Linked DNA regions of Caenorhabditis elegans. The protein of the gene in region 1 interacts with the protein of each later gene in a biochemical or structural test. Each region holds a gene or a part of one and is shown in the gene's direction. Other genes may lie near its edges. The genes, in order: lim-8 and pxl-1.

Region 1 (4,968 bases):
GGAGTGTCTTCTTCACCTTCTCCCAGGACACAGCAGGACACCTGTTTCGGGCAATCAACACCGACCTGGTCGCCATTTGCATAATGTGTTTTCTTGAGGAGAAGAAAAAGAAAAAGGAAAAGAGTAAGAAGGATGGATACCTAGTTGTCGGAACGAAGACATATGCGTGTCGTTATGAAGAAACCACAGTTGAAAAAGAATGAAGGATTAGACGTCTGACGACGACACCGTTCCGCCACCTTGTTTCTTCTTCTGATCCTTCGTGTAATATTACTGCATTTTTGGCTTTTTCCTATTCTTTTGCGTTCATTTTTCTCATTTACATATCTACATGTCAAAGTGAAAAAAAAAGCTATTCCCTACAGTAATCGTACGTTCTGATAGGTCATTGGAGAATATGTTCCAGGAGTTCTAATCATAAAACAATTGTTCGTTGGGTTCAATACTTCAAAAACATCAATCAAATCAGGCGCTATTTTAACAAGTTCAGATCTAGACACGTTTCAGTATACTTCTCTTAAAACTAAAAAACTTTGTTTTCATTCCACAAATGTCCATCCTTGCCTACCAAATTGAAGTCAATCTACCATATTAAAATAATTTAAAAACATGAATTTATTGGGCCACTGCAGAAATGTAATCCATTAATGGGTCTACCCTACATTCTACCATGTTGTTTCTTTTTAGAGAGGAATTTTTAAGATGGAAATATTATGAGAATCAACTATTTTTGGAGATGAACTGCTTGTTTTTCATTATTTCAGAATTCATGGCTTCTTATGGCGCTGTGATACTGTTGTTATATAATTATATTCGGTTTTTTTTATTCTCAATGTCTTCTATTTCCCTTTAAAAGCTTCTCCGAACTTCAGATTTATATTCTTTGCCCTTATTTCCCTGTCCAAGTTTCAATTTCCCTGGCTTCTGCCGCTTTTAGACTATCTCCAAATCACCACCATCTGATAACTGATCCATAATATCTTTTGACCGACATTCCTTTTCATCTCTTCAATATTACCGACTTTTGTGTATATTTTATGATAGAGCGTACGAGACGAAGAGACGCAGACATTAATTTTATGCTTTTCTTGTGGATACGCAGAAATAAGAAGAAATAAATTTGAATATTGTTCCGAAAGGATCTGACCACTTTCTCTTCAGATTCACTCTCGTTCTCTGATTATCAAATTATCGTGTCAAATTCATTTCAATTCTGGTTTCTCCCGAAATTTTCAAAACCGATTTTATTGAATTTTATTTTCCTTAATTTATGCTTTCCGTAGTGACATTAATTTGAGAATTTTTGGATGTGGATTTCTTTACCGCTTTTGAACATACTTTTTTACAGTTTGTTTTAATTCTCGGTACCTTTTTTATTAATTGAACATTTGGATAACAAAGTTATGGACCATTGTAATAGGTTCCGTTCTTCTCAAAATCTCAAGTCTTGGTGTCAATTTTCTGTAAATGTGTGGTCGATTTCTATTTTTCTTCCTCTCTGAAGAAATGTAAACTGTCATCAAATTTCCCACAAGTTAAACGCTATTTCTGTTTGCTCAGAGGTCTTTTTCTATTTTTGTTACTCGTGTTTGTGTTCTATTTGAATTTCAGATAATCTATTTTGATTCTCTGGAAAAAACATTGATTACTTTTTTTGATGTTCTTCTTGTAACTTGACTTTTTTATTGTTTCATTTCAATTATTTGCAGAAAGTCGTAAAGATGATGGAGAATGATTACGCAGTGAAGGTACTTTCAAAGTGTTTGAATTTTTCATTGTATATTTATTAACATTTTGTGGCTAATTCATTTTCAAAATAGTTCAACGTATTCCTGTGTTTTCTAGTTATTCTAGCTTTGCATTTTTGCTGGGCAAAAGTTTGTAAAAAACAGTTAAAGCTCTGAAAACATTTTTTAGTACAGAAAAGTTAATTAAAACTCACTGTTAGATTGAGAAGGGGTTATTGGAAAATTATTTTGGAAATTAACATATTTTATTTGGCACACTGAAAAAAAATAAAAATTTAGAAATTATAAAAAGGAAGAATCAAAACTGTCCAATGTCCCATATCATCCTAGTTTTCTTGCACGCAAACCAAAACCTCAAAAATGCCCAAGAATGTTGGGCATATTAATATTTACATTTCAAGAGGGCTCACATACTCACCCCTTTTAACACACAGTCTTCACACAAAAACTAACTGATAACAGGAGACTTTTTTGTGTTTGATTGGTATTATGATCGATTTTTATCATAAATGATATGTTAAAGTGTTCCTTTTCTGTGATATGATTCATTTCTGAAATGAGTAGGATGGAAGAGAAATGAATAAAAAAGTTGAAATTTTTGAATCAAAAGTTGCGTTTATAATCAAACTACGTTCCTTTTTCAGTTAAGCATTTAGTTATTTTAAAGTTTATCATCATTTTTTAATCAAGATGATGATAACATAATACTCGTAAAACATGTTTTAAAGTTTTATCTTTTAAGTTGTAAAAAATACGTTATTAATCGCCCACTTTCACCTCTAATACTCGAAAATGATATTTTAAGTGATTAACTTCATTATGTACTTTATCGTGTTTACCTAACTTATGTCTGCCACAATAACCTTGTCGTTTCTACTTACTTTTTGTATTTATTTTTCATAAATTCAGAATAATTTCAATACATTTTTCAGGTGGCCAAGTATCCACCAAATCTTGGATCTGATTATCCTGAAGACGAATTTGGGTGAGTTTTACTTTCACCACAATAATTTTTTTGTCATTTATGATCATGTAAATCGTTCATTTAATTATGAGTGACAAGATTAATTAGGTGAATTATTTGAATTTTCAATGTCATTATAAAAGTTCTAAGGGTAGATGTAATATAAGAAAGCGGCAAAGTATGCAAATAGGTTTTAATATTCTGAAAATCAGGTTTCTTAGTCTGTTTTTTTCTCATTCTCTTTGAGATTCTTTTTCATTAACCATAGCATATTCCTCAAAATTTCTGTATTGTAGCGTTAACTACCCATTTCAATTAAGAAATTCAACAAAAGCTTTGCAGTAACAACGCATATAGGCAAAATAGGACATTTCTCCGTGGCTGGGCTGGGCCTACTACATTGAAACGTTAAAAATATATTTTGGATCATGTTCAGACATTTATAATTTAAGTTTTTATTCGAAAAAACAGTATCAAGATTCTTTGAAACGGATTTTATTTTTATTAAAACAAAAACAATAGTCATATATTCTAGACCAGTTCATTTGGGCGTGGACTTCCTTTGCAGTTTTACAAAAAATCTTTTCTTATATATTCACTAGAAAATGTTCTAGTTAGACTGTTCATTTTTCATTCCTTTTGTCTTTGAGCGTTTGCCGGTACGTGTAAACCGTTAGCCTTTCCAAAAAACCAAGCGTCGGAGCAAAAAAGGAGGGTACTCAAAGCTCTCTGTACTTACCATGCAAGCGCGAAAATTGGCGATTACGCACTCTCTTGATATTGTAGCATATTCTCAGTCTCTTCATTATTTTCTTATGTCTCGGAAAAAGAACGTAGTGACCATCTCTAACTGTGTCTCGTTTCGCCAATGGAGAGAAAATAAACAAATGAATGAGAGCATGTGAGCCGCCAATAAATGACCGGATATATGAGAGTGAGAGAAGATATTCGGCATGATTTTTGAGTCAAGGGCACTGTTACGGTTTTTCTTTTTGTTGATCAACCCTTTTTTAGTCTTATGAACTCTTTGAGCAAGTTTCTACAAGTTTCTACTTTTTCTGTATATTTCAGTCTCAATGTGGAAATGATGTTTCACAGCAACCCAACAGTTCCCAGGTTCCTCTACTAGATTAATTTAACTGTGTTTTCGATGAAAAATAACATAACCCAGTAGATATCGGATACTGCGAAAATTACCATGTGTCTTAAAATAAGTTTTACCGGGTTCCGGTAGTAGCTGCTCTCAACTCTCTGAACACTTCTCCCTGAGACGCTATCTATAGATCGCGAAACTATTTTTAAGACTGAATTACCTATTGAACTTTACGATAGTTTTCCAAAATGTACTATGTTTTTTTTTAATAAGCTCACAGTTATCCCGAATTCTATTCTCTCTGATAACTTTATATTCCTCTTGAAACCCAGATTTTCTTCACCGCAAAAGGTTTCTGGTCTCTGAAATTAGCTATTGGTAAGGCAAAAGGGACGCGAAAGCTGGAAAGAAACATCAATTACCAAAAGAGACACTTGTTTTTCGCTTTTTTCTGTGTTTTGACTTCTGACGCCTTCACATCAGATGTCCCATGTCAGAAGCTTTTCCTTTCATTTTTCTTAAAATTTATTCGATTTCTAAAAAATAATCTAGCGTTTAGGTTTGAAGTTAATAGCGGTCTCTCTCATTGTAAACTCGATCAGTGTATTAACTATTGCACATACCCTATCTGCGTCTCTATTCTAACTACAGCGAATATAGGCCTCTTTGACCTGAACTTTCCGTGCTTCCGTGGCGCAATAGGCAGCGCGTTCGGCTGTTAACCGAAAGGTTGGTGGTTCGAGCCCACCCGGGAGCGAAACTTTTTGGCTTCATAAAATTATATTTTCTTAGTAAATGAAATTTGCAGACCCGGAGCAAAAATGCTACGAGGACCGGGACAGAAATCCTCGGATCCTTTCCAATTCGTCGCCGTCAACAAAGGCGGCGACGAAATGGCTGAATCTGCGAAAAGCACACTACAAATGGCTCAACAACAGAAAGCTCAACGAGAAAAAATGTTACAAGGACAGAAACAGACGGTACGTGAGTTACCGAAGAGCCACATCCTAATTTAAACATTTTTAAGCTAAAGTTCGACGACTGTGAACCGTGGCAAGAAAATTTGGATACTTGGCGGAAGAAGAGAAAGGAAAAATTTGGAGATCGAGCCACATCGGATACTACTGTACCGGAGACTACAATTCACCGAAGAAGCGAGGAAT
Region 2 (7,948 bases), 910 kb from region 1:
GAAACTGTATCATTTTTAGATCAACCGTCGTACTTACTATCTTACGGCAGCCGTTTAGTTACATTTCAATCGAATTCAATTCGAATTCCCTCAAGCCTGTGTACATCTCAATCTCTTCCTCCCGCTCATTCTTGATTCAAAAACAAAAACTTTGCCTCCATTTCTTCCCGCTCTTTTCTATGTGTCGTTTATGTGTCTGTCTCTGTATCTCTTTAACTTTCACACTATTTCCTTTTATCGTCTATCTCTTCTCTTTTTTGAAGAAACTCCTAAAGATTAAGGGCCAAGATCATGAAGAATTCCCATGTTCCATTTTCTAGTTTTTCCTTAAATCAAATAATATTCTGGTAAAATAATAGTTTCAAGAAGTTTCAAGAACTTCCAAACAACTTTCACAATATACCGTAGAAATTCATAAAAGTTTTGACATTTCTCATTTTTCATGCATGATTGGCATGTTCCTTTAGTACTCGATCCGGTTTCACAACACCGTTTAAAATGTGATCTATTCAAACGGAATATGTGATTTCAATGTATCTCTTGTCATAGGGAGACTTCTGCTACTTGGCCGAGAAAAGGGATACCTCGGTCATCGCTTTCTTTGGCGGTCATGTTGCTAATAATTTATTTAGATTTTCCAAAAATTTTTTTTTTCGAAAAAGAGAGATTGGATTACTAGATTGGATTACTGATTTGACTTTCAAGGTTTTTTTAAATATTTCCTCGTTATCGATCCCTTTTCCAAGTACCAATTATTTCCAGCAACCTGGATTATTTTCTAATTAAATTTCAATTCAATTAGCAAAAACATGTACTAGGAATATGTGTAATTGAAAAAACTCTTAACGAACTGAATTGCATAAAACCATTCCTATATGTTGCTAAAATGTCCTAATATCATAGAAAACGGTTCAAATGTTTTTTTAAAATAGTGTAGTCAAAAAGTGGCTAGTTCTCACCTTCTTAATTTTGGAATTCTACAAAAAAGTTTTTTTTTCACAATTTTAAATTTGAACCAAAATTATCTTAACACTTTTTCACAATTAAACTAAGTTTTCCTATTGATCAAGCTTTAACTAATATCAAAATGATCATTCCTATTCTGAGAAGCAAATTAATCAAATTAAAATATATGGAAAGTAGACATATCTACATTAAAAAATTTTTTATGGGAAAATAGACACTTCTAATTTAAATTTTTTTAATGAAAAGTAGACACTTCTACTTTAAAAATTTGAGAGGTGAAGTGTCTACTTACTATTAGACATCCTTTTCAATATTTTAAAAACTTAGGCTACTGGATTATTTTCTGAGGATTCCTCATCAAACTGTAATTTTTATAAATAAAAATTTGTATTTTTGTTATCCAGATGCTATTCTTTTTTCAATGTTTTGTACTTCTTTTATGTCATCTCCATAAATCTTTTTTCCTTCTCCTCCTCTTTCTTTCTTCCTTTTTTCTTTTTTTTTGTCGGCTTCTTCATCGTTTTTTGTCTTCTTCCTCCCACTTTTTTCCACTCACTCACACATATTTTGACACATTCTCTCACATTTTTAGTGGTCCCCATACACATGCATACACACTCATCTATTATTGCACTTTTCCTTCTTTTATACACCCTCATTGGTACCGTTTTTTACTATTTTGAACATCTTGTTGTAAATTCGATCAATTGATAATTTGTTGATTTTCCGAAACTTGACTAAGCCGTCGGGTTGCATTCTGAGGTTCTGAAATAACTGAATTTTGGACTTTTTATAAAATCCAATTACATTATAACTTCTAATAAAGCTCTTTCGTCCGCCTTTTAATTGTTTTTTTCTTGATTTTCTCCTGAACATTTTTTGAATATTTCAGTAAGAATGCCAAGCGACGATCGTTTTGCGGATGCGGTTAAACCAGCTTTAGGTACCCAAGAACTTTCTAATGGAGGCTTTCCGGTGGAGAAATGCTCCCAGTAGTAGTCGTAGTACTAGTTTGGAAATTATGAGTTTTTTGATTAATGGGAAACTTATTAATATTTGGATGGAATTATCATAATTTTGAAAATTTATATGATTTTCATACTTGATAGTTTTCAATAATAAAATTCTTAAAAAGTGGGTTTTCACTTTTCAATTTGAAACATTGAAGAGTTCAAATTCTGTAATTGAAACAAAAAATAAATAAATATATTATTTTAATTTCAGAAGCCCTTCTATCGGATCTTCAACACACCACAGAAGTGCTCCGCCGTGCTCATATAAGTGATCGCCGCTCACAGAGTCGTGATGATTTTGAGCAATCCTATGATCTTCAGGGAAATCTTAACACACAGAGGTTAGTTTTTTTTTAATGTTACAAACCTTTCCATACATGTTTTAACATAAACTAAACATCTAATATTTGTGTCAGTGTGAGCAATGGAAATATAACCACTTCACCCTACAAACGTCGTTCGTCAGAAGGAAAAGATTATTCAAAAAGTCAGGAAAGGATTTATGGTTTGTTTTTCATGTAAAGAACATTAATATGTAATTGTATCTGTAGAAAATGAATCAAGACTTAACCCACCAGTCTATTCACGTCCAAGTGTCCAAAGTCTATTGTCTCAAGTCGAAGAACCACCAATTCGAGCAAGCAGGTAGGAGAAAACGTTTTTTGTTTTTTTGAAAACATTTTTATCTTCGGAGTCATATTTTGAAATTCGTGGCCTAGAAAAACCTTTTAAAAAGCTATACTATGAGTCAATTTAAATATTAATTTCAAATCTTCTGATTTAATAATTTCAAGAATCTTGCGATTAGGATTCTTAAAAGGAAAAATTTAAAAAATTTTGATTGGCACTTTCAAAAAAATCTGTAAAACATTAACATCTTACATCTGAGAATGCGAAAATATAAATCAATGGCCTAGAACACACAAAAAATGTTAGACCAACAATTCAGAATTTAGAATTCTATTAGGCATTTTAATTCGAAAATTCATAATTTTTTGTAGCCTAGAAAGTTCACTTAAGGCCTCGACATTTTTATAAGATTTGTTGAAAATTGTTAATTTTTATATCAACATTTTTTGTGCATCTTCAAAAAAATTGAAAACTTATGTATATCACGAAAATTGGTTCAGATATATATTTTTTTAATTTCTAAAAGCTTTCCAGACAACAAAAGAAAAATGGCCTTTAAGTTCCAAAAATAGCTCCGAAAATAAAAATGTTGAAAATATAAAACTAGAAAATTCCGATTTGAAATGGTCAAGCCCGTTTATCAAAATGCCAACTCCGTGTTCCATTTTCCCGCCGGCTCTTAGGTCATTTCCCGTGTTTCTGCGTCTAAAATCCCGGGAACAAACAAAAACTCAAATGTGAAGGGAAGAACGAGAAAAAAGACTAATAACATACACGCATATTACTTCTACTCGTCTCATCCCGTGTCGCAAATCATCTCTTCTTCCCCGGTACAGAGGAGGAGCCGGTTATTTTATTTTTCACTGAGTTTCTTCGTCTTGCTCAGTATCTCTTGAGCTCAACAGGGGTAAAATGCTGTAGGGCGGGAGAGTACCTACTCTCTATCAAGTGAGAAAGAAAAATATAGAGAAAAGGAGCAGCACACCTTTTTCTTTTCCACGCACACAACACTTTTACCTATCACTTGGCGGAATGATGCGCGAGTTGCAACAACGGCTTGACCATTTCAATGGTCCAAATTATGCACAAAATAGTCATTCAAACCACCAACAACATCATTCGGTTTATAGCTCACGCAAGAGTCTCGGACCACCAAGTCAGGCACAATCCTACTCTGATGTCGTAAGTTTTTATTTCTTTTCGGGGGGAGCTTCTGGGAAGGGAAACTGAAATGTTTTCGTTGGGAGACCTTAATTAAAAATGTCCTTAAATTAGAATTTTCAAAATCCCAGAATCTTCATTAAACTTTCCCAATCTCTACAAATCTAATTCCGGATATTTCTGTGTTCACAAATTTTAAAACCTAATTTACTGATCCTGAACGATATGTATTCAACTTAGACGCAAACTTTATGAATTTGTAGTTTTTCCTATTTTGGTCACATGACTACAAAGTAGAAAATTCGGTCATTCTTTTAAAATAAAGGTTTCTTGAAATTTTTGGGACTTTTTGAAATAAAAATAATTTCAAAATGTTTTTTGAAATATTCAATTTACTGTCAAAAATTGGCAATTACTCGGGTTTTGCCACTGGTAATTCAAGAAATCCACCAGAATATTATTTAATTTTTGTTCAATTGTTCTAAGTTGACCATTTCTTGACAAAACTTTCAAAAATCTCAAGAAAAAATGTAGAGTGTTTAAATATGGTATTAGGTCATGATGGACTATTACTAGTATGGTTTATCAAAATCCACAATTCTTTCACTTAAACGTCATTGCTCCAATTTGAAAGATCATAAAAGATTTGGCAACATTTCACAACATAGTCTCCTCATTTAATTTGAATACATTGCTCATCTTGCTTGTTTTGTAGGATTCCATTAATCCCAAATGCAAGCGTATCCCCATAAAATTCAGATGCTCCACTACTTCCTCTGCTTCTTCTTTTCCCTTATTTTCATGTTCTGAGAGCAACTATTTGTCTCCCTCGTTTTCGTCACATTTTTCAAAAACTTTTCAGTTTCATATTTTACAACATAGTAAAAGGAGAGGAAGCAACAAAAAAAAAACGAAAAGTGGAGCGAAATTTCTGTTTGTAAAACCTTCTTTTATTGCCGCGTGGCTCTTTCTTTTACGTGGAAACACGTGCTAGAGAGTATGTGAGAAGAAGAGACACAGACGAGCTCCACGAGCAAACAGTACGGGGGGCTTCTAGAGGTTGAAGCGGGGGTGTAAATGAAGGTGAAACGATGGGAATAGAGAAAGGGAGATATTGTTAGCTTTTCCTTGGTTTTTGATGAGAAACCTTTTGGAATGAGGTCATATGGAACGATTTTTAGTGTATTTTGATGACTATTTGGGAAGGGGATCTAAATTTCGAAATTACAAAGTTCGGGTTTACAGAGGATAAATAAAAACATAGGGAAAATACTTCCATACCCCGCTATCAAAAACAGAATGACCTCGCTAAAAATACGCCGCGGCAATTTTACTAATTTTTCACAGAAAGTTTCCAAAAGCATTCTAGAAATGGATTTGTATACTTTTGTGTGGTCTAAAAGATCATTACGTAAATTAGAAAATAAAAATTACCCCGTTTTTTTGGCATATTGCACCTTTTCTGTTGCCACTTACCAATGTTCAGTCATTTTTCATTTTATTAGTTTTTCAGCTTACTTTCCGACAAAAACCTTTTTCCATTAACTATAAGTAAATATGCCAATTCCAACAAAACATACACACACAAACATAAATTTGTCATAATGGTCTCGCAACGAATGAAAACACACATTTCCAATCGTTGCCCATATACATAAAAACGTGGAACTTATAGAGATCGAACGGTCGGTCTCCATCAAGAGACCCACTGCATTCGGATTCAATGATTGGAACAATGAATGGAGAATTGAGCTCAAAACATGGAGTCAATACAATTCCAAAAGGAGATTGTGCTGCCTGTGGAAAACCGATTATTGGACAGGTGAGCGTTTTAATAAAACAATTCTAGAATATGTGAAAAGTTCTAGGATTTATTAATTTCGCTGTGTATTACTGTTTGGCATCCTGAAATTTAATTCTGATTAACTGTGACGTAGGACAGTTCAAAATAATGTTCTCGCGGTATTTAGTTAAACTACGAGACTCTAGAAATTTCCTCAGAATAGTTTTAAAAAGAATTATTAAATTTCAACTTTGGAATGTCCAGAAAATCAAATTTGAAAAATAAAACCATTTTTCAGGTCGTCATTGCTCTTGGCAAAATGTGGCATCCGGAGCATTACACTTGCTGTGAATGCGGTGCCGAACTTGGACAACGCCCATTCTTTGAGAGAAATGGACGTGCTTTTTGTGAAGAAGATTATCACAATCAATTCAGTCCAAAGTGCCAAGGATGTCATCGAGCCATCACTGATGTAAGTGACGTTACAAAATTCTTAGTCATAAATATTTGGTACAATTGGATAATAGTGAATACAGAATATTGTGCATGATTTGTAGTATTTCCAGTTTTGAATGTACAACGAAAAACGCCGATTAGTGGAGTTTTGCAAAAATTAATGTGGACACAAGTTTAATAGTGTTTTTTTTTGTTAATCATCTTGAATATATTTTCATGAAATAAAAATGATTAGAGAAACAAAATTTAAGTTTCCAGAGATGTGTGAGTGTAATGAACAAGAACTTCCACATTGAATGCTTCACGTGTGCAGAATGCAATCAACCATTCGGAGAGGATGGATTCCATGAGAAGGTTGGTTAAAAAAATCCGTTTGAAAAGCCTTTCAGTTTACACTTTCAGAATGGACAAACCTATTGCAAACGTGACTTCTTCCGTCTATTCGCCCCAAAATGCAATGGCTGCTCTCAACCAATCACCTCAAACTTTATCACCGCTTTGGGAACTCATTGGCATCCGGATTGTTTTGTCTGTCAGGTATTTTTAGTTCATTATCATTTGTTAAACAAGGAAGTCAATTCAAAAATTAAAGAAACCATCGAAAACCGATTGTGCGGTATGTTTCTTGTCGGTGTCTCTCTATTCGTCTATTCGTTTCGTTTTTTTTTTCTTACCCCTTTTTATTTTTAATGAGTGGAGCAAATTGGCTTGTGTGAAGTGCCAGAAAATATTATAATGAGAGGCTTTTCGTTGATAGTATGCTGCAGTGATAGAGTTTTGTGGTTTTTTTAATAGTAACATTTGAAGTTAAAAAAATAAAACTATATAAAACTAACTATAAGTGTTAGGTTTATATATTTTTAATTTTGAGCCAACTGACTGAGTTCACATGGGACCTATAAAATGTGCAAATTTACAAGTTTGATTGAACCTTCCAAAACTTCATATTAATAAAAACCTTGACCCCTAATATATTTTATAATACCATTAAAAAAGATGTTTCGGTTTTTCGGTTTATTGTATCTTTCCTTACCTAGTCGATATAGACATAATTAAGCATGAAATATTTTAGAATTATTCCTTTAGCTGTAGTCAATAGTTTTATTTTTGGAATAAAATATTATTTTTATTTTGGTGTGTCATCTGTAAACTTCCCTAAATATATGTGGATTGTTCTTTACAGCATTGCGGAGTTTCTTTCAATGGTGCAAGTTTCTTTGAGCACAACGGTGCTCCACTCTGTGAGCGACATTATCATGAATCTCGTGGTTCAATCTGTTCTCAATGTCGTGGAGCCATTAATGGAAGATGTGTAGCTGCAATGGGAAGAAAGTTCCATCCGGAACATTTTAGATGCTCATATTGTAATCATCAACTGACAAAAGGAACATTCAAAGAAGTTGATCGTCGGCCATTCTGTCATAAGTGTTATAATAATACGTATGCATTGACTCCTGCCTAATCTTTTTTTTTCTCTTTTTTGTCTCTCCTGTCTTTTTGTGGTTTTTCAAGTTTTTTGAAGGTGGTAACTGGAAAAGATAATTCAGTAATAGTTTAGAATATTAGGCTTGGATGAAATCGAATATAATATTTTTCTCTTTGAGATTTTCTAGTTCTCTAATGCCATACTTTTCAAAAATTTAAGTGTCAGCTAGCCTAAATCCATAGACTTCAGCTTGACATACAGGATTAAGCCTAAGCCTAAACCTATACCTTAACTTAAATTCCAGTCTACTCAATTCAAAAACCTTCCACCTTACCACACGTCCATTGTATAAAATATGAAAAAAAAAAGTAAATCAATTTTCAAAAAAAAACCAAAATTTTTATTAAAATTTCTACGCATTTCAAAATCAAAATTTCCTCCCCACCGCCATATCAAACTTTTCCCCCAGTCACTTTTTTTCTCAACTTTTAATTGCATTTTATCGGTCCCCCC

What was found.
Region 2: the proteins of lim-8 (region 1) and pxl-1 form a complex in vitro, tested with the Caenorhabditis elegans proteins (one study listed by BioGRID).

What each region holds. Positions count from the first base shown.
Region 1 is NC_003281.10:6,801,079-6,806,046, forward strand, and holds the start of lim-8 (PDZ domain-containing protein), read left to right. Parts: upstream 1-1,709; 5' UTR 1,710-1,724; coding exon 1,725-1,748; intron 1,749-2,680; coding exon 2,681-2,733; intron 2,734-4,150; exon of another isoform or gene 4,151-4,355; intron 4,356-4,489; exon of another isoform or gene 4,490-4,562; intron 4,563-4,583; exon of another isoform or gene 4,584-4,613; coding exon 4,614-4,785; intron 4,786-4,832; coding exon 4,833-4,968.
Region 2 is NC_003281.10:5,889,922-5,897,869, reverse strand, and holds pxl-1 (Paxillin homolog 1), read left to right. Parts: upstream 1-1,858; 5' UTR 1,859-1,863; coding exon 1,864-1,909; intron 1,910-2,190; coding exon 2,191-2,320; intron 2,321-2,395; coding exon 2,396-2,484; intron 2,485-2,530; coding exon 2,531-2,624; intron 2,625-3,583; exon of another isoform or gene 3,584-3,641; coding exon of another isoform or gene 3,642-3,739; coding exon 3,740-3,791; intron 3,792-5,445; coding exon 5,446-5,592; intron 5,593-5,851; coding exon 5,852-6,025; intron 6,026-6,267; coding exon 6,268-6,363; intron 6,364-6,411; coding exon 6,412-6,546; intron 6,547-7,192; coding exon 7,193-7,471; 3' UTR 7,472-7,597; downstream 7,598-7,948. UniProt on the Caenorhabditis elegans protein: Required for myofilament organization of the pharyngeal sarcomeres and for pharyngeal muscle contractions and hence for pharyngeal pumping. Together with lin-8, might be required for myofilament organization in the body wall muscles.